2 linked regions of the Lytechinus pictus genome follow. Each later gene encodes a partner of the first gene's protein in a complex. Links are inferred from orthologs where the notes say so. Each region holds a gene or a part of one and is shown on either strand. Other genes may lie near its edges.

Region 1 (9,320 bases):
GAGATATTGGTAAGTAGATTTCTTCCTTGATTGAATGCAAATGTAAAATTTAGGTCTGAATTTGGTTCAATAAATGCCCACACAAATCATAATTAGTTTTCATTCTGTCTTGCTATTAACAAGCAAAGAGATCAGACATAACAGTTAGCACACAGCTTGCTCTTTGCCATGAAAAGCAAAACACAGTTCCCATGATCTTTCTCACAACTTTTCATTGTTTTTGCTTTTTACACTTTCCTAAATTACAATTTGTGCGAATTAGGCCTTTCCTGTAACAGGAAAAGCATGTAGGCAACCACAAGGATAGAGCTGGGCCCTGTGATATAAAGAGATACGACTAATATTGCAACCACTTGTATTGACCATAGAATTAAAGTTATCCATAATTGTTCAATCAATCTTATCTCTTATGTTGCTAGGCCATGTTTGTATATATACCTTCAGGATTTCCTGGCTGATATTCCTGCCAGATCTTGACGGTCTTGTCATCGCTGCAAGAAGCCAGCCTGGAACCGGTCTTATCGAAGCTGATGGCCCATACCGTCGACTCGTGACCGTCGAGGGTCTCAAAGCTGCTCCAGTCATCGTCTTCCTCGTGGAACAACCGGATAGTGTTGTCATAGCTACAGGATGCCAAGATCTATGTGGTAAAGATAAACATGAACAGATGGAGAGAAAGTGAAAAACAAAGCATTGTGAGAAGAGGACAGGGAAGAACAAAAATTTGAGGGAATAAGGTAAGAGAGAAATAAAAGAATAACTATGTATACTCAGGGTTTCCACAGAAATTTGAAAACAGAATTCCATGACTTTTCCATGACTAAATTGCTGCTTTCCATGACTTCCTGTGACGTCCCGGGAGTAATGTAGATTTTGGGATGTCACAAAACTGGGAAAAATGGAAATCATGAGCACCAATTATAATAGCATAGTATGAGAGTTGCGAAACACGACAAACTGGAAAACTGCCATAGCCAAGAGGTAAATGCAATTCCATGACTTTTCACAAATTTCCCAAAGTCCCTGACTTTCCATGACCACAAATTTTTCCACGATTTTTCATGACTGTGGAACCCTGATACTGTTGAGAGACAGAACACATTAAAGGTGAAGAAAATTCAAATTATACTAAATTGTAACTCAATAGAAATAAAACTACATAATTACTATCATTGTTTAAGAAAGGCAATTATTGACTCAATGACTTACATATCCTTTCATGATGCAATCTTGTATGAGTTTACGGGATATTTTCTTATATATACCTGTATGATTATTCATTTTCTATTCCATAAGAGTGTCAATACTAATTATGGTATCTTAAAATTATAACAAGTTACATATCTAAGGGAAAAATGCAGTCTGATAGTTATGAACAGGTGTATTGATTATTCAGAATGCATATATCGTACCTCACGTCCAGGCTGCCAGGCGATATGCTTCACATCTTGAGTATGAATGCTGAGTACACTGGCACATTGGTAATCATCGTCTTCTTGGTCAACTGCAAATTAGTCATTCAAATATAAAATAAAAACACAAAACAAAATAATACCATATCGATAGCTCCCCCGATCATATGTCCAAGCTTTTTCAAAAGTTAATCAGAACAGTTAATTCAGAAGGATTTATGAACATCCACAAGAAGGCTATTGCAGTAAGTATGCTTTTCTTAATAGTCTATCAAATAATCTACATGTATGATCCAATTTTTCTACACCTTGGAACAATACCTATAGAAGTAGGCATTTAAAAATCATAATTGATATAATAATTCATCGAATGGTAATATGGATCCTCATCAAACGATTGGCTGAAATCAATCACATGGCCATTCATCAGTAGCTAACAAGATAATTTGACAAGTTCTATTGACCAGTCATGGTTTTGCAATGAGGATGGTTCATCAAATAACAAGGATCAAACATCACTATCCAGGGGTGGATCCAGGATTTTCCAAAAGGGGGGGGGGCATATTTTCCAGAGGAAAAATTTGACAAGCTGAAAAAAAGAAAGAAAAAAAAGAAGAGTTTGACAAGCAAAAAAAAAAAGAAAAAAAAGTAAAAGGTCTTCACTTTCAAAGGGCGGGGGTACACTTCTGTTTTAACAGCATTTTCACATTACAAATTTTAATTGTGCTTCTCAAAAGGGGGCACCGGCCGGCTTTGCACCCCCCCTGGAACTGCCAGTGTCACTATCTCACAAAACATAATCCCATAATACACATGATTTTGCTTGGACATGAGAATAATTACACTTGTTACATCTGAAACAGACCAAATAATAATTATGGGGCTCTGGCGTTTTATTCTAACACATGCCCTTGATGATGTGTGTTGTACTGTCAATGCTTACCTTCCCAGATCCAAACACTTTTGTCCCTGCTGCACGTTGATAAGAGTGAGCCAGACTGTGACCAAGCAACACTCTTCACCTCATTCTCATGGCCCTCTAGGGTGGCGCTGCACTCAAACTCTCCGCTGCGACGATCCCAGATGCAGGTCTGGGCATCAAAGCCTGCCGAGGCCAGCAGCTGACCGCAGGGTGACCAGGCAACACGTCGGATGGTCCTTGTGTGGCCATCCTGGAGGATCTTCTTACAGACCCAATTATCACCTTGTGAGAGAACACAATAATCATTATTGTCATGATAATAAAGTGTTTAATGGAGTAATGAACTAGAACTCTCAGTATAAGACAGATAAAAACAGCTTCCAGCAGATTTTCTGTATTTTTTTAATGCAAATAGAGTCTCGTCACTTAATGCAAAAGAAGAAAAAAAACACTACCGTATGGGTACTAGTATTCAACCCGGCATAATTCAAAGATTTTGACATATTCCCCAAAATATTTAGAAATAGGGAATTTATCTTACTTTCATACCTTTGTTATTTCCAGGGTAATCTGTTGTCGATATTTTCTTTGTCAATCTGTCGACTGTATGCGCGGAGGATCGAATTATGCGGCGATGGCCTTTTGCACTGAATGGTACTAGTATTCAACCTAGTGAGGATTGATAGCAAATCTCAAAAGGGTTTAGATTGCTAAATTAGATGTAGATCTATGTAAGTCTCTGGCTTTGATTAATTCCCCGTTTGGTCTCATCTCAAATGGTCTAGTCCATAGTCGGATGGGACAAGGGCAGATTGAGAGACAGGGCCATCTTTCATCGCTAGGTTGAATACTAGTACCGACGGGTTGAATACTAGTACCAAAATTCGTCGCCGTATAATTCGATCGCCCGCGCACACAGTCAACTGGTTGAAGAAAAAAATAACGGAAAAAGAATCACCAGCATTTGCTCTTGGAAATAAGACGGGTCTGAAATTCAGGTAAATTCTATATTTCTATATATTTTAGGAAACTCTCCAAACGGGTTGAATACTAGTGCCCTTACGGTACCGGTACAAAAAGATTTTAAAAAAAAAGTAAATTAGGAGTCTATATATTACAAAGAGCAAGAAAGTTATTGGTGTAAATAATTTTCATAACGAGTAGACGTAGGGGTCTACAATCTACTTGAGTCTAGGCCCGCCCTAACATTAGACCCAACTTAGATATCGAACTTGTTAACGTTAGATCTAACGACAACGTTAGATCTAACTTTCGTTTAATTTAAGGCTAAATGACGCACGTGAGCGCCTAACGAAGTCAGACTAACTTTAAGTTTTTAAGTTTTAACTTTAACCATGTTCTAATGTTAAACTTGTTAGGCTCCGCCATTTCAAAAATCTTTGTAAACAAGGCACAAGTGCACACATTATTAGCAAGAATCATTCCCTATAGATCTACTTAGCATTCAATTCTTTGATCGGGAATTATCTACCTTCTTTGCCCCAGATTCTGACCGTCTTGTCACCTCCACAGCTCGCCAGAAGTGTCCCGGTCGGATTCCACGAAACGCACCAAACGCGGTCGTGATGACCAGACAATGTTGAAATCGGCTGCAAATTTCCATCCATTTGGTTCATTGACTGTTTTACAGGTCCTTTCCACTCCTGATCCTTTAGGGAGAATAAATAGATCGTTAAAGTTATCAATAATTGGGAGTTGTTTTTCTTCTATTTCGGCTGGTTGCATATGCACATCACAAACTTTCCGGTGTGTAGCGCCATCTCGCGACATTTATAAAAAATTGAAAATCCGGGAAGATTAAATTTGGAAATGACAGAACATAACATTTCAGGATCATCTCTGCAAATCGTCTTTAACCAGCTTAAGGATGTTTTGACTGCACAGAAGAAACTAGTGGACCGTAAATATTCAAATGTGAGTTAAATAACCAACCGACTTCAATCAAAAATACAAAGGAGAGCGAAAGAGGGCGAAAGAGATCCATTCCAAGCCGAGCGCGCGCCGCTACGTCTGCGACGGATGCTCATGCTCCCCGCGGGCCGGTGCGGTGGCGTGATGAGTCAGGCCAGGGCCGAGAGCGAGAGCAAGGTGGTAGTGTAGATCAAAACAAGCTTCGGTCTCTGTTAAATTGGTTGTTCTGCTGGGGCCTGTTGCATGAAAGGGTCTTTCGTAGAACCATTCTACGTAAGAACGAGATATCGCTCAACTGTTTAACAAAGCCGATTTGGGCGATTACGAAGAATGGTCCTTGGAAAGACACCTCCAGAGGACCAGACATGTCCTACGACGAGGCATGATCTTCTTTGCACACCGCCCGCCACCGTCGGCATTGAGAGAAAATGCATTTACGGCAAGCCACACTGACATATCACCTCTAAACATTTTTTTGGTTGCACTCTGATGCATTTTATCTGGGTGGGATGGCGCCAAGTTATTTTTTATATGGGGGCTGGTTGTCATCAATTTCAGGTCGTCTTTTTGCACGGCAGGACGACCAAAAACGGATGTCATTTTAACTTCTCCGGGGTACATGTATTATTCCCGGGGGTAATGTATAGTAGCCAGGCGGCTTCTTGAGAGTAAAAATCATTTACTAACGTAGGCTTACTCTCCATGAAGCCAGGGAGTCCTTCCTATTCATCTGCGTGTACCGCAAAAAACCCTGAAACTTTCGCCCCCGATCGGCGATCCGAAGAGAGCCTGAGGCTATTTTTCCATTAAAGAATATTGATGAGAATCATAATGTAGGCCATGATACATGTATATATTTCCATAACTAATAAATTTAGCTAGTTTTTGTTATTTTGGGGGAAATATAGTCCTTTGCAAATCGGACTTTTGAGTTTGATCATTACAAGAAAGGGGGGGGGGGGGGTTAGACCAAAAGCTTCAGTCTCTGTATTTTGGTTGTTCCGCTGAACTGTGTTGGCTCCACTCACCAATACATAGACTGAAGAGTTGTTGGCAGTATTAGCAGTAACATTAGATCTAACATTCGGCGGAAACCCGATTTTTGGATTGTTTTTTTTTTACATAAAATGTCACATTATAAAAAAGAAAGTACATTCAAACTTAGCAAAAAATTAAATCTGTGGTAATTCTTACAGCTATAGACAGCACATCTTTCTCTGCCACCCATAATTAAGAAGAAAAGTGATGTTAGACTCTGGAACAAATATGACGAGGCGTTTACTGGAAGTTAGCAAAATGTTGGCTGCGGCGTTGATCCTATTTTGATATACTATGGAAATCGTCCACTTTATTGTCGGCTGCTTGCGTTCGCATGTCCGCATCCGGACAATAGCGGCGCTATTGCTCCCTTTTTGATCCCATGATCCTTTTCGTGAATCTATTTGCGATAAGGTCTATCCTGGTTTAAGTCACCACTCCATTCACTGCCGTTCATTTTGTAAGCGGTGGTGAATTCTTTCATCTCCCATTGACTTTGTACACAGCGAGCGCACACACACTGACACACACGAGAAGAGAGGTGACATATTTCAGGATAAGGCCTAATAATCTTTATTTTGGTCCAGTTCTTTTTATATATTTTTATGATATAAAGACAAAAATCGATGAGCCCCGTCCACTCAAGGGTTCATTACATGCCGCCACGCACATAAAAATCAAGCCATAGAAGTCGTGTGTTGTGGACACCAGAAGTGGGATCGCAGCACGCGCGACCCACTAGTTAGAAATCCACTGCCAAACGCGGTTCATGGTGCGAGGTTATAGTATACTAATACTAACCTCGCAATATGTGTGAGTGAGCCCCATCGGGGGGATTTTGCATTGTTAATGCCCTAATGGCGGCTGCACGATCGCGAGCCGACTATGTACGAGGAGAAATAAAAAATTAAAAAATGTTAAAAAACTCCTCGAAACAGACGGCTGCCAGCTGTCTAGGCGGTACAGTAGACTGCTGGCAGCCGTCTGTTTCTTAACATTTAATAAATTTTTTTAATTCTCCTCATACGCAGATGGCTCGCGATTGTGCAGCCACCATTACAGGGTTAACAATGCAAAATCCCCCCGACGGGGCTCATTGATTTTTGTCTTTTTTTTTCTTTAGACCCTATTTCATTGGTCTAGCCCTAAAAAGAAGATTATTAGAATTTAGATTCCATTTTGGCCTGAAATGCACCAAAACGGGAAAAAATAAACTTAAAAGGAAAAAAAAGAGTGACTTACTTCGGCTGTCGAGTAACTCCCACTGCTCTGGTTTATCCGAACTTAATACATGTAGTTCATAAACATATGGCCATTGAGTCCCTGTAACTACAGATCAAGTTAAGTTAGAACTTCGGTCTCTGTAATTGGTGAGTGCAAGAGCCAACGGAGTTCAGCGGAACAACCAATATAACAGAGACCGAAGCTTTTGGTCTAGGTGGTAGGGAGCCAGCATGACCATGCCTGGGCCTGTTTCATGACGAGATGAGCATAGTAGGGACGTCGAAGGACCATTCTTCCGAGATAGGAAGATTGGCGACAAATCAGCGCTTTCAGTTTCACGAAGGCAAATTTGTCATCCAATCCAACTTTGACATTGAATTGTTTGATTAGACTACCTGGTATAGGCCTAGACTACATGTATATACATCATTTAGTCACGACACGTTAAGTTAGATCTAAGTTAGTATCGTCAAAAAATTTTGTCTTCATCGCCACCTGAACCTAATTCAACCTATTACGGAATGACAACTTTTCATAAAATCGTATAGACCTATTTAATTTTCCATAAATGGAGATCAAAAAATTATGTATGTATTACAGATTGTGGAATTGATGTACATATGGAGATGTTGATATCCGGAGCTTACATGTACTTTATGAGGTGAAAAAAAAAGAGAAACAACTTTAAAGTTAAACTAGATCCACAAACATAATAACTGGATAAAATCGAAATTTTCATTATTTTCCTTATCTAGAACACATAGTCTTTTTAAGGACACCTTTCATTGATATACGAGAGAGACACTTGTTCGAAAATGAAAATGGAAGTAAATCAGTAATTTCGACATATTGAAATATTCTGAATTTTTATGAATACTTTAATATTTGAAGTGATAATTTTGCAAATTATGCTTTAAAAGTTATTTGTTGAGGTAAAAATAGGGTTTGAATCAAGTAAACAAAGTCAACGTGTCTGACTGTATGAGACTAAGAAGGAAAATATGAGAGGCTGCTTGTGAAAAATCTAATTTATTTATTTCAAACGTCAGGTATAATGCAAGAAATACAAATGTGATTTAATGTTTAGACTTGAGAGAAAATTGGGTATGAAAAGTAACCAAGGACAAAAAAAAATGTGAAACTTGCACAGATACAAACATGCCAAGTAGGTAAAGTAGCATGGCAATAATAAACAAAATAGAAAGATGTGTAAAATCAATATTTAGGCAGTGGAAAAATACTATTTAACAGAAAACAATGTTAAAAATTACGATGATCATAAATGTTGGTCATAAAGTTCATAACTTTATGGAAGTTTATATACAGAAAGTCAAAAAGGGGCCTAAGCTTTTGATCCTAGCAGAATCTTCGTCGGAGGCAAAATGACAAACATATAAAGTGGAACAACCATAATATAGACCACAAACAAGCTACAGCAACACTATAAACAAGGAGACAAAAGGGGCATTAGTGAGTAGAGAAGACCAATCAGGTTAGTGAAGGGGATGAAAGAAAAGGAGTAGGCAGACACAAAGGGAAGTTAGTATAAGTAAGGCCAGTAAAAGACCTCAAGCCAAGAGGGATTAAGATAATGAGGCAGGCAATATCAAACAGGATCTGGAACAAAACAGTGATAATGGGATGAATAACAAGAGAATTAGTGAGAGGTGGGTCAAACAGGTTACAAAGAAAGGCATAATAAACTGGTGCATAAGAGTGGGGGAAAAAAGGAAAAGAATGGGGAACAACTGATAATGTGCAAAAGACATATAAGTATATATGATAAAGCATTAAACAAACTAAGAGAAGAAGGTAAGTGTAAATATGTATCTATAAGTGATATGTATAAAAATATATCCAAAAAAGAAATGTATATGAAAAAATATAAATAAACATATGGTGTAACTGATATTGTAATCCGCTAGGTGTGACAGGAAAAAAACATAAGACTATATAGTAGGAAAAAAAAAAAAAAAAAACCTGTATATGTGAAAAAGAGGAAGCAAATTGCCTAAAAAGGTAAAAGCAAATATAGAAGAGAAGGGGTGTATTATGAAGAAACCAAAGTATACATGTAAATAAGCAAATGTGGTAAATCTAAAAGAGGTGAGTGGAGAAAAAACAAATATATATATATAATAATTATTATATCGCCTGAATAAGGAAGGAAAATTTGGAGCTGAGCTTGTATGAGATATGGGAGGAAAGTAGAGGAAGAAACTATAATGTAACTATTCAAAAGAGCTGAGGGGAAAAATTATATGTATATATAAATTGAAAGTGGATAGGAAAGAAAAATCAGTCGTTCCCCTCTTGGATGTTCAGGCCATGAGGTTGGGTGGTGCGAAGTCGTCTCATCCAGAGCTTCTCCCTGCTAGTACGGACTGAGTCAGGACGGGTACCTAAAGATTCGATGCCCTGTAGCATCATGTCAGTGATGGAGTGGTTTATATACATGTAGAACATGAACTTCAAGAATATTAAAAAATATATATACATGTATATGTCAAACACTAAGTTAAGGAGTCGAGACATTATTTATTGCTTTTGACACCCTATGGCTTAAACTTTATGATGTCACAATCGTTAATATACAGTGTAATAATAAATATTTTGCTTAAATTTGGCTTTAATAATAAAGTAAAATACTTAACAAGTTTAAGAATTTTGCTTTGCCATTGTTAAGTATTTTACTTTGCCAAGTAAAATTATGCTAAGTAAAATTAATACTTTCAATTGAATACTGGCCCATTGGCAATTTGACAACAATGAATGTGCATATATGCATGAAA
Region 2 (9,245 bases), on another chromosome or scaffold:
TTGAAAGGTCAATTTTGAAAATTTTGGCCTAAGGACCATTTTGTTGCGTCGCAGCCCATACGTGTTCTTCCTTACCTTAAATCTAGAAGGCAATGACCTGATAAGCTTCACTCTAATGGCAAGTCCAATCAATGTAGCCATACTGCAATGAGGAATGGTGGGGGTGAAGGTCACTTTCACTACATTACCAGGATCATCAACCTGACAAAAAAAAACAAATGATCAGAAGAGAACAAACCTGTACATTCTGTACCTTTATTATTTTATGATTGAACATATACACACACATCAAGGCTCATCCAGACATGGTGCAACAATCCTTGGCAACATTCTGACATAGAAATACAAAGCAAGTGGGATATTAGGTGTTGAAAAAAATGTTAAAACAGAAAGATAATTTCTGAGGGAGGGTTGAAAGGTGGTTATTATATGAGGACCAATCATAGTCTATAAAAGAGTAAATGCAAATTACGACAAGTTAGTACAAATAATCTAAATAAACTAGACAAAGTTGTAAATTCATACTGCATGACTCGTAACATAATCATGAAATCACTGTGAGTTGTGACATCATAACACAAGTCAGAAAAGAATTCAGACATACCTCTAATTCAGCTTGCTGCACAACATTCAACTCTTCCAATGTCAGAGGATGCTCAGGGTCATTGATGTTTCTGATCAAATGTTAACATCTAGTCAAGGAAATTTGACATAGATCACAAAACCTGAGTACTCTTCAAGGTTTCTCTAATATACAAATAAACAGGAAATAAACCCAATGGCCCATATTCTGAAGTCAGATTTTATTTAAACTCTGGTCTAAAGTTGTTGTTTAAATACAGATGGCCAATTGTGACATCAATATCTCAAAGTAGAGGTTTAACTCATCAGCCAATTTGACTCTGAAATTGTTCTTGAAGGTCAAGTCCACCTCAGGAAAATGTTGATCTCTAATCTATGCATAGAATTTGTCAAATCGTATGTTTCAGTTTCAAAGATTTATTTTTGATGATATTTGGAATCGTAGAAGGGCTTATAATTATCATCATTTTACAAAGACCACCGTTATGGTTTACTTTCGTAAACTATTAAAATTTGATGTCCCAGGGGTACCCATCTCAACGTCCACCAGTGGCGTACCTGGGATTTTTCACAGGGGGGGCAAAACCGTCCGCCAAAAAATTTGACAAGCAAAAAAAAAAAAAAAAAAAGGTCTTCAATCACAAATGAAGGATTTCGTACCAGAAAAAAATTTGACAAGCAAAAAAAAAAAAAAAAAAAAAAAAAGGGTCTTCAAGCTCGTCAGGGGGGGGGGGGGCAATAAAGGTCTTCAAGCTCGTCAGGGGGGGCAGACTGCCCCCTCTGCCCCCCCCCCCCGTAGGTATGCTAGTGACGTCCACATGTGATTTTCTAGTCATGAAATTATTTATTCATAATTTAATTTTCTCAGCAATTGAATGCTCCAACCTTCATGGTCTAAATATGTATGATGCATAATTTACATGTGCTATTATTTTGAAAAGATGTATTTCCCAATTCATCGAAATATTTGCAATTTTGTCATAATTTTTCTTTTTGAAAAATATGCTATTTTGTGACTAAGGCTACGTCTCGTCTGCTCTTTTTACCGATAGTAGTGTGATGTGTTGTGATTGTTTCAATGTCGAACCGGGGCCCATGGATGTGTTGGACTGGCACCGTGCTCGAGGCATTTCCCCCCTCGGCACCAGGTAAAGTTTTCAGTGCAGCTGCCCTTGCAGGGTATCATATTGTTCTGGGTTAGTATTAGGTCTTTGTGTAATTTTTGCTTTGTATATTATTTAATGCCATTATTTTTGTAATTATTTATTATATGTTATATATTGTTCTTTGTATACCAACAGCCGGAATATGATTTTTGTGCCAATGTAATTTTTATTTTGAGCATGACAATAAATTTTGAATATCTGATCTGAATATCTGATATCAAGGTATTCTAGTTAGGAAGCCTTTCGAGAAACAGGTTTAGTAAGATTGGAACTATCTCCGTGGTTGGTGGATAAAGATATGACTAACTTGTCCAGGTGTTGAGAAACAGGCCCCAGGTGAATACAAAAATTATTCCCTGGTTACTAATGAAAAATAAATTGCAACTGTATGGAAATTAGTAATTTTGGTCACAAAAGTGAAAATTTAATGATTTTTTAAATTGTGTGCTGTGTACAGCATTGGCATACCATAGTTCTACCTGTAGATTCCCCACAGGCAGGATGGTTGCAGTGAACAAGTGATTTATGGTAAAAAGTTCGGTGAATTACACGAGAATAATGTGTTTGATATGATTGAATTCATGAAGTGTTTGGTAATACGATCCACAACCATATATGTCTAAATATTAATAAAACATCTTCTTCTTCTTTAAAGGACATGTCCACCCCAACAAAAACTTGATTTGAATAAAAAGAGAAAAATTTAACAAGCATAACACTGAAAATTTCATCAAAATTGGATGTCACGGTAAAATAAGAAAGTTATGGCATTTTAAAGTTTTGCTTCATTTTACAAAACAGTTATATGCACATCTCCGTCGGTATGCAAATGAGGAACTGATGACATCACTCACTATTTCTTTTGTATTTTATTATATGAAATATTTTTATTTTCTCGTCATTGTCATGTGAAATTAAGTTTCATTCCTCCCTGAACACGTGGAATTCCATTATTTTAACATTTTGTGCTTCAGGCAAGGTCCTAATCGTCAAATTCGTAAAAATTGAAATATTGTATAATTCAAACAATAAAAAACAAAAGAAATAGTGAGTGACAACATCGACTCTCTCATTTGGATGTAACTGGCTCGTTCATATAGGCCTAGGCCTAACTATTTTGTAAACATGGTAAAAAATAAGCAAAACTTTGAAATGTCATAACTTTCTTATTTTACATCCGATTTTGATGAAATTTTCAGCATTGTGCTTGTCTGATTTTCTCTATTGATTCAAATCAACATTTTTCTGAGGTGGACTTGACCTTTAAAGTTTAAATTCAAGACTAGATGGATGCCCATCATCAGTAGAGGCGCACAGCCAATATTGGAGACTGTCTCCAATGTGGGAGATTATCTCCAATAATATCAGAGACTTTTGTAAAGAATTTGGGTATCCAATTTCAGGGCAGCCAATTTCAGAGACAGTCTCCAGTTTTGGAGTCCAATTTCCTTTGTTTACATTTGCTGCAAAAGGATTAACTTGGCGGCAAATAAAAATGTGATAAGCAGATTCCTCATGAAAAATTACCCCTTTTCACCATCTACTTTAAAAATTCACCGTCTACTTTTGTTTTGATAAGGATATTTGTTGTCAATCACACACAAAACAAATGGGCTTCTGACCTCAGTGAGACAACATTTTGGGTGGAAAAAATTATGCTTTTGTTGTTGTTGTTTCTTTTGTCCTTTGCAAAGCAAGTCTCCAATGTGGGAGATTGTCTCTCTAGTAATAGAGTCTCCCATATTGGCCTAACCCAGAGAGCTCCCGCCCGCGCGGACGGGAGCTCTCTGGGTTAATATTGGCCGTGCGCCACGCCTCTACTGATCATAATATTATTGAAATAATTAAAGGATATCAAACACTTCTCTTGTGTCGATGGCATCGTCGATATCATCATCTTCTTCGGCTGGTAGAATGTGTCTTTTATCAAGCTTTCCATGAATCGTGGGGTTGACATTATCCAGTTGTTCACGCCCCGACATCTTAAGGTTTGAAGAAGGAACGACACCTCGACGACCCACGTACCCGAATATTCGCCGTCCGGCCCGGTATGCACGGCCGGTGGTGCGGTAGTACGTCAGGCCGGTACGTACGCGGCCGGTACAGAGCAAAGACCTTATAATATATTACTAGACCGAAAGCTGCGTGCGCGTTCAGCACAAAACAAATGAGATTAGGCTCCGCCTACCGCGATCATTTGAAGACAAAAATAAGCCCTCATTGACATTCATGAGCATGAAGATATTCATAATCCGGCCTTTTCATTGGCTAAGAGCGTCATTAATACGCGATTTCCCCGATTCCTTGTCATCGATACTAGTGGTATCGTGTTACAGAAATAATTATTCATTTGACCTCATTACGTCATCTAATTTATTCATTCTGAAACTTTTCTTTCCACACACAAAATGGACCTACGAACACTCCGGTGAGTACGTATAAATTGATATAACCACATGAATTCAGTGGACTATTTACACATTTCACACTGTATTTTGTGATCTTAGGTTATTTCTTTAACAAATTAGAGAGTTTGCTATCATTCTTCTGTTAAAGGAAAGCAGAATTTGGTCTTTGAAATTGAAGTTAGATTGTCATCGTCGCACAGTGCAGCCAGTATGTTGCTTGCAGTGTATTTTGTACGGGCTCCTAGCCGGCTGGGAATCGAGAGATAATCGGGCTGGTTTGGTTCACCTCCAACAAGGACCAACCCACGATTGATTAAAACAAGAAGAATGAGGCTTCTTTTTGTACACTGTAACGTTAGATCTAGAGGGAGATCTGCATCTGTCTTCAGTAGATCGAGACTCAGTCAGGAATAAACTGTGAAGCGGAGTGTGGATGAAGATACGCCTGTCATTGACATTGTGTCAGTCCTCACTTTCAGATATCAAATTTATTTTGCATAACTTCAGGCTTCTGCATTTAGCCCCCACCATTTTAACTCTTATTGTTATTTAACCCAGAGAGCTCCCGCCCGCGCAGCGGGCGGGAGCCCAGAAGCTTACCGTGTATTTTACCATTGTCACCGGACTAGGGTGATTTATGGTCTAAATATTTCTCCAAATGAATTGTGAAAACAGAAAGTATACAATTACCACGATTATATGGATGAAGGTCTAACGAGTGGCAGATTCCTGACATCTGGGCACAGTCTGGAACCTCAAAAAAACGAAAAGTTCTCTCCTTCTACCCCGTCTCGATCGGCCATTTTTGTTAAAAATCGTAACAAAATGGCCGATCGAGACTGGGTAGAAGGAGAGAACTTTTCGTTTTTTTGAGGTACCAGACTGTGCCCAGATGTCAGGAATCTGTCACTCGTTAGACCTTCATCCATATAATCGTGGTAATTGTATACTTTCCGTTTTCACAATTCATTTGGAGAAATATTTAGACCATAAATCACCCTAGTCCGGTGACAATGGTAAAATACACGGTAAGCTTCTGGGCTCCCGCCCGCTGCGCGGGCGGGAGCTCTCTGGGTTAATTGTTATTCATAAATTTATAGACTCGGTCTTAGAAATAACATGCTGCTCTGCATGTTTGTCTTATTATCAATAGATCTATGACCTAGATCTTCTTAATCCTAGGCCCTACTTACTTCATGTTTATACTTAGATCTAGGCTACTTTACTTTTATTTATTCATCGATGCTATCATTTTATCAAGAGCTAGGCCTACCTAATTAAAATCTAGTCTAACTTATACTTTCCCAACCCTCGATACTTGCCCCCAGGGCTTATGATCTAGGTCTGTAATTTAGGCCTAGATCTAGGTCTGGGCCTAAACGACTCCATTTACATGTACGAGTATGACTGTCAGTGGACCAAGGAGTCGGACTAGATCTAGATCTACTCTCGGTCAATAATGGCAATGAAGTCTTAGCCAGGAATAAAAGTCAAAGTCAGACATCAAAAATTTCTAAACCGATATAGGGTTTAGAACCGAAGCTTTACTTTCTAGGTCTAGATAGATCGAGAGTCCATCGTTAGTCTAGATCTAGACCTAATTTAGATACATGAATGCTGTCGCACAGCATTGAGTCTCGTTGGACTAGATCTATACTTTCTTACAAATAGATCTAGACCTAGTGCATGAGATTATGAAATTATGTTAAAGTCTAATGAAATAAGATTCGGAAATAAAAAGATCCAGATTTTTTTTTTTGGGGGGGGGGGGCAGACATGTGAAAAAATTTAGAGAAACCTAAAATTCAGAAAGCGAGGGCCAGAAGCGACCAATATTACCTAGGGCCGTTTTGTGCATTTTCTAAAGTAAAATTGAAGGATGTCATGCAATTCTCTTTTTGATGAAGGTTTTCACATTTCTGATTTCAGCTCTTACCCAAACCCCTCCCCCTATACATACGGCCATGAAAAAGATCATTTCTTATTATTGTTCTCTCTCTTTCACAAACAGGTTGAGTTTGAAGAACAAGAAAAACAGTAGAGGTCTACCTATATGGTTCAAGATGATGATCATAAGTGCATGCATCATTTTGCAGATTCTCATCCAGGTATAAAACTTAAACTAACCCATACAAAATTACAGATACATTGCATATGCATTGAATGTTAACCATGTTTACATTAAATAAAAATAATCTGAGCTACAAAGAGGTAGGATCTGTAATGAATATACACTTCTTAATATACAGGCTCTCGAGTCTAAAATAGAACCAATGCCAAAAGTTATGTACCTTGGACAAATTTATAAAATAAGGTCATGTCCTTGATCTACTAGTAATTAAATGGCCTTTTTATTTCCTATTTGTTTATAAACAAAGTGTAGGGATTGATTTTGTACTTATATTTCTTTCCACTCTTATCCAGGAATCATCCCCTTTTTCTAATAGAACATCCCTCATTTATATTCACCCTTTTCATCCTAACTTCCTATTCTTCATGTATAGCTCTCTCTTACACATTAACTGCTGTACACTCTGTACACAAGGTTGTTTGGTATTAATTCACTCCACCATCCTTCATACAGCTTTCTTCACTCCTCTCTCTCTCTCTCACTCTCCTTCTGATTGGTTATAATGTTAAGTTGATGCACTCAAGCTTAAATAATAATTTGCATATAGTTTGAATGGTCAATATATATCCTTTGTTTGTATATTTGAATATTCAGTTATACTTTGTTATATTGATTTACATTTATATGAATATTGATGTGCCTTAAGTAATTTGCATGGAATGTTACAAAGAATGCAACAAGGCTTTGAGTCATTAAAATCTGGGAGTTGGCCAGTAAGTTATCAACCTGACAACATGTCTGCTGGGCTGCCTCTGTGTTAAGAGTACTAGAAATGAGATATTGTCAGAACCCCGTACTACACAAAGCAATATTTATTTTTCATATTTTACAAAATTCATTTCATGCATTCTTTAGTGTGATATTCATATTTCATATTTGTAGATTTACGATTTTTTTTAAATCTTGTTATTTTACATTTTGTCCAATAGGATGATGCAGTTTTACAATTTCCATGGAGGTGATTGATGATGATAAACAATTGGTGAAGTAGGCCTAATAGAACAGTGATAGGACCACAAAGAGAAATACAACCTACAGCAGTTATATGAGTGAGTTAATAAGTGATTATTTTTAATAATGGGGGGTTTTCACAATATTTTTAGGCAACAAATAGACCTGCCTTTGAAAAAAACATTTCAATTCTGTTTTTAGGTTATAGATAGGTGTCGTTTTTATTCGCAGATCAAAATATTCTGTGCAACAAAACATCATCTTTAATTCTGACTATTATATATAATTTATATGTTAATTCATATATTCATATTTATGGGAAATCTCTGACATTTTTTTTATATAGTACATGTAGTTATAATGGAGAGTGGTATGCAAACTGCATAGAACAGGTTTAAGTGATATGCTTTGTAGAAGTACAAGTTTATAATTAGTAGAAGTAAGATTTCCTATGTTATGTGATGAAGAAATTTATATACCGGTATGTATAGTCTTACTTTTCTTCAAACATTTATGTTTTACAAATCATGACAATTTTAATTTAAATTCATTGATTTTCTTTCTCTATTTTTTCAATCTGCAGGACTGGTGTAACAGATGTTTTCATTCAAGAAACCCAACAAATTGAAGAGTGACTTAGCTTAGGAAGCACTTGATAAAGATGGAAAAGGTTTTTTTTTTTAATTATCATCACAACCCCAAATTCATGAAGTATGAAATTTCCTGTCGATTTTCATTAAAACTGGTTGCAAAAGGAAAAGCTATAAACATACAAATAGGAGCGGCGAAGTGAAGTTGAAAGTGGGGGGGGGCACAGGGAAAATGCTGTATTATGTGAAATTTTAAAGAAGTTGCGAGAGAGCAAAATTTTGACATTTTTAAAAAGAAAATCCAATTTTGTGATAGATTTCGACAAAATATTCAGAATGATATATTTCACCCTTTTTTTTGGGGGGGGGGGCAAGAGTCCTTCAAGCCCCCCCCCCCTCCATCTGTAGTGTACGAAACTGCTTATCTACCCCCACTCACATGAATTATTAAACTTAATGCACAAAGGATTTCCTTATTGTTTTCTTGTTTCAAAGGGCACTCGTCATTCTTTAGGAGCACTTTTCTTGGATAAAAGGGGGCAGTTATTAGAGAAAGGGCACTTACAAGAAGGCGAGGGGGTACTTTTTAACACTTAAAACGGGCCCTCAGATGAAAGGGCACAGAACACGTTCGGGGGGCATTTTTGGTAAAAATTTGCATACAAGGAAGAGCACTTGGTAACACCTAAAACAGGTTCTCGTCAGGTGAAAGGGACACAGTACACGTTCGTGAGGGGGCATTTTTCTTACATAAAATTAAAGGCACTTTTCAGTGCTTTAAAAAGTAGGGGGAACTGTGCCCCCCAGGATCGCTGCCCCTGCATACAAAAAACATTTTTCGTTCGATTCAAAGTATTAACATACGCTTAAGAAAAAAAGTAAGGCTAAATCCTCTGATAATGTGATATTTTTTTTGGCTATTAATAAAATTCACAACTAACCATAAAATGCCTTCATGTCTTTCATTTGTATAGTATTTGTACAGAGCTAAAATGAAAGGGATTTGGAATTGGCAAAATTCAAATGAGATGGAGATCGAGAGAGAGAAAGAGTGATGAGAAGGGGGTTGAAAAGAGATGAGAAAGAAATGGAGGGGCACATATGAAGAGATAATTTAGAGGGGGGGTAAGAGAGCACGAATGGTGGGAAGTAGGAACAAAGGGGTGGAAGAGAAATAAGACGAGATTTATGGAAACCAGGAGACAGATAACAAGTGGGAAAAGAAGAAGGAAATATATGTAGGAGAAAGGCGGCACCAAAATAACGTGAGTGGGAAAATTATTAAATGGAAAAACAGAGCAAGAAATGCTGGAGAATAGAGGGGACAGGAAACGTATTAAACATGATAAACTGGGGCACGTTTCATCATGAGTTACAAGTATGGTAATAATGATTGGTTATATATAGCCGTTACCAT

What was found.
Region 2: the proteins of probable cytosolic iron-sulfur protein assembly protein CIAO1 homolog (region 1) and cytosolic iron-sulfur assembly component 2B-like are in contact, whole or in part, in a crystal structure (PDB 6TBN), measured with the Drosophila melanogaster proteins. The link is inferred for Lytechinus pictus from reciprocal best matches to the Drosophila melanogaster genes Ciao1 and galla-2. Residues at the interface, in NP_610996.1 of Drosophila melanogaster: Arg16, Trp18, Arg60, Thr61, Arg63, Phe79, Glu105, Lys107, Arg123, Asp150, Lys152, Tyr168, Asn170, Ser195, Thr196, Trp198, Thr216, Ser248, Gly249, Gln250, His251, Ser252, Arg253, Tyr256, Gly272, Asp273, Asp274, Arg277, Glu299, Gln304; in NP_648416.1 of Drosophila melanogaster: Ser74, Pro106, Lys109, Thr111, Ala124, Lys127, Gln128, Asp131, Lys132, Glu133, Arg134, Ala136, Ala137, Glu140.

What each region holds. Positions count from the first base shown.
Region 1 is NC_087256.1:15,793,003-15,802,322, forward strand, and holds the start of probable cytosolic iron-sulfur protein assembly protein CIAO1 homolog, read right to left. Parts: upstream 4,383-9,320; 5' UTR 4,270-4,382; coding exon of another isoform or gene 4,165-4,269; 5' UTR 3,972-4,164; coding exon 3,827-3,971; intron 2,617-3,826; coding exon 2,356-2,616; intron 1,505-2,355; coding exon 1,413-1,504; intron 641-1,412; coding exon 439-640; intron 1-438. Other genes in the region: spermatogenesis-associated protein 24-like, read left to right, coding at 4,165-4,269. UniProt on the Drosophila melanogaster protein: Essential component of the cytosolic iron-sulfur (Fe/S) protein assembly machinery. Required for the maturation of extramitochondrial Fe/S proteins.
Region 2 is NC_087246.1:39,216,059-39,225,303, reverse strand, and holds the start of cytosolic iron-sulfur assembly component 2B-like, read right to left. Parts: upstream 3,810-9,245; 5' UTR 3,731-3,809; coding exon 3,604-3,730; intron 685-3,603; coding exon 605-684; intron 202-604; coding exon 76-201; intron 1-75. UniProt on the Drosophila melanogaster protein: Component of the crb-galla-Xpd (CGX) complex which is essential for proper mitotic chromosome segregation in early embryos. The CGX complex is also required for cell proliferation in developing wing disks.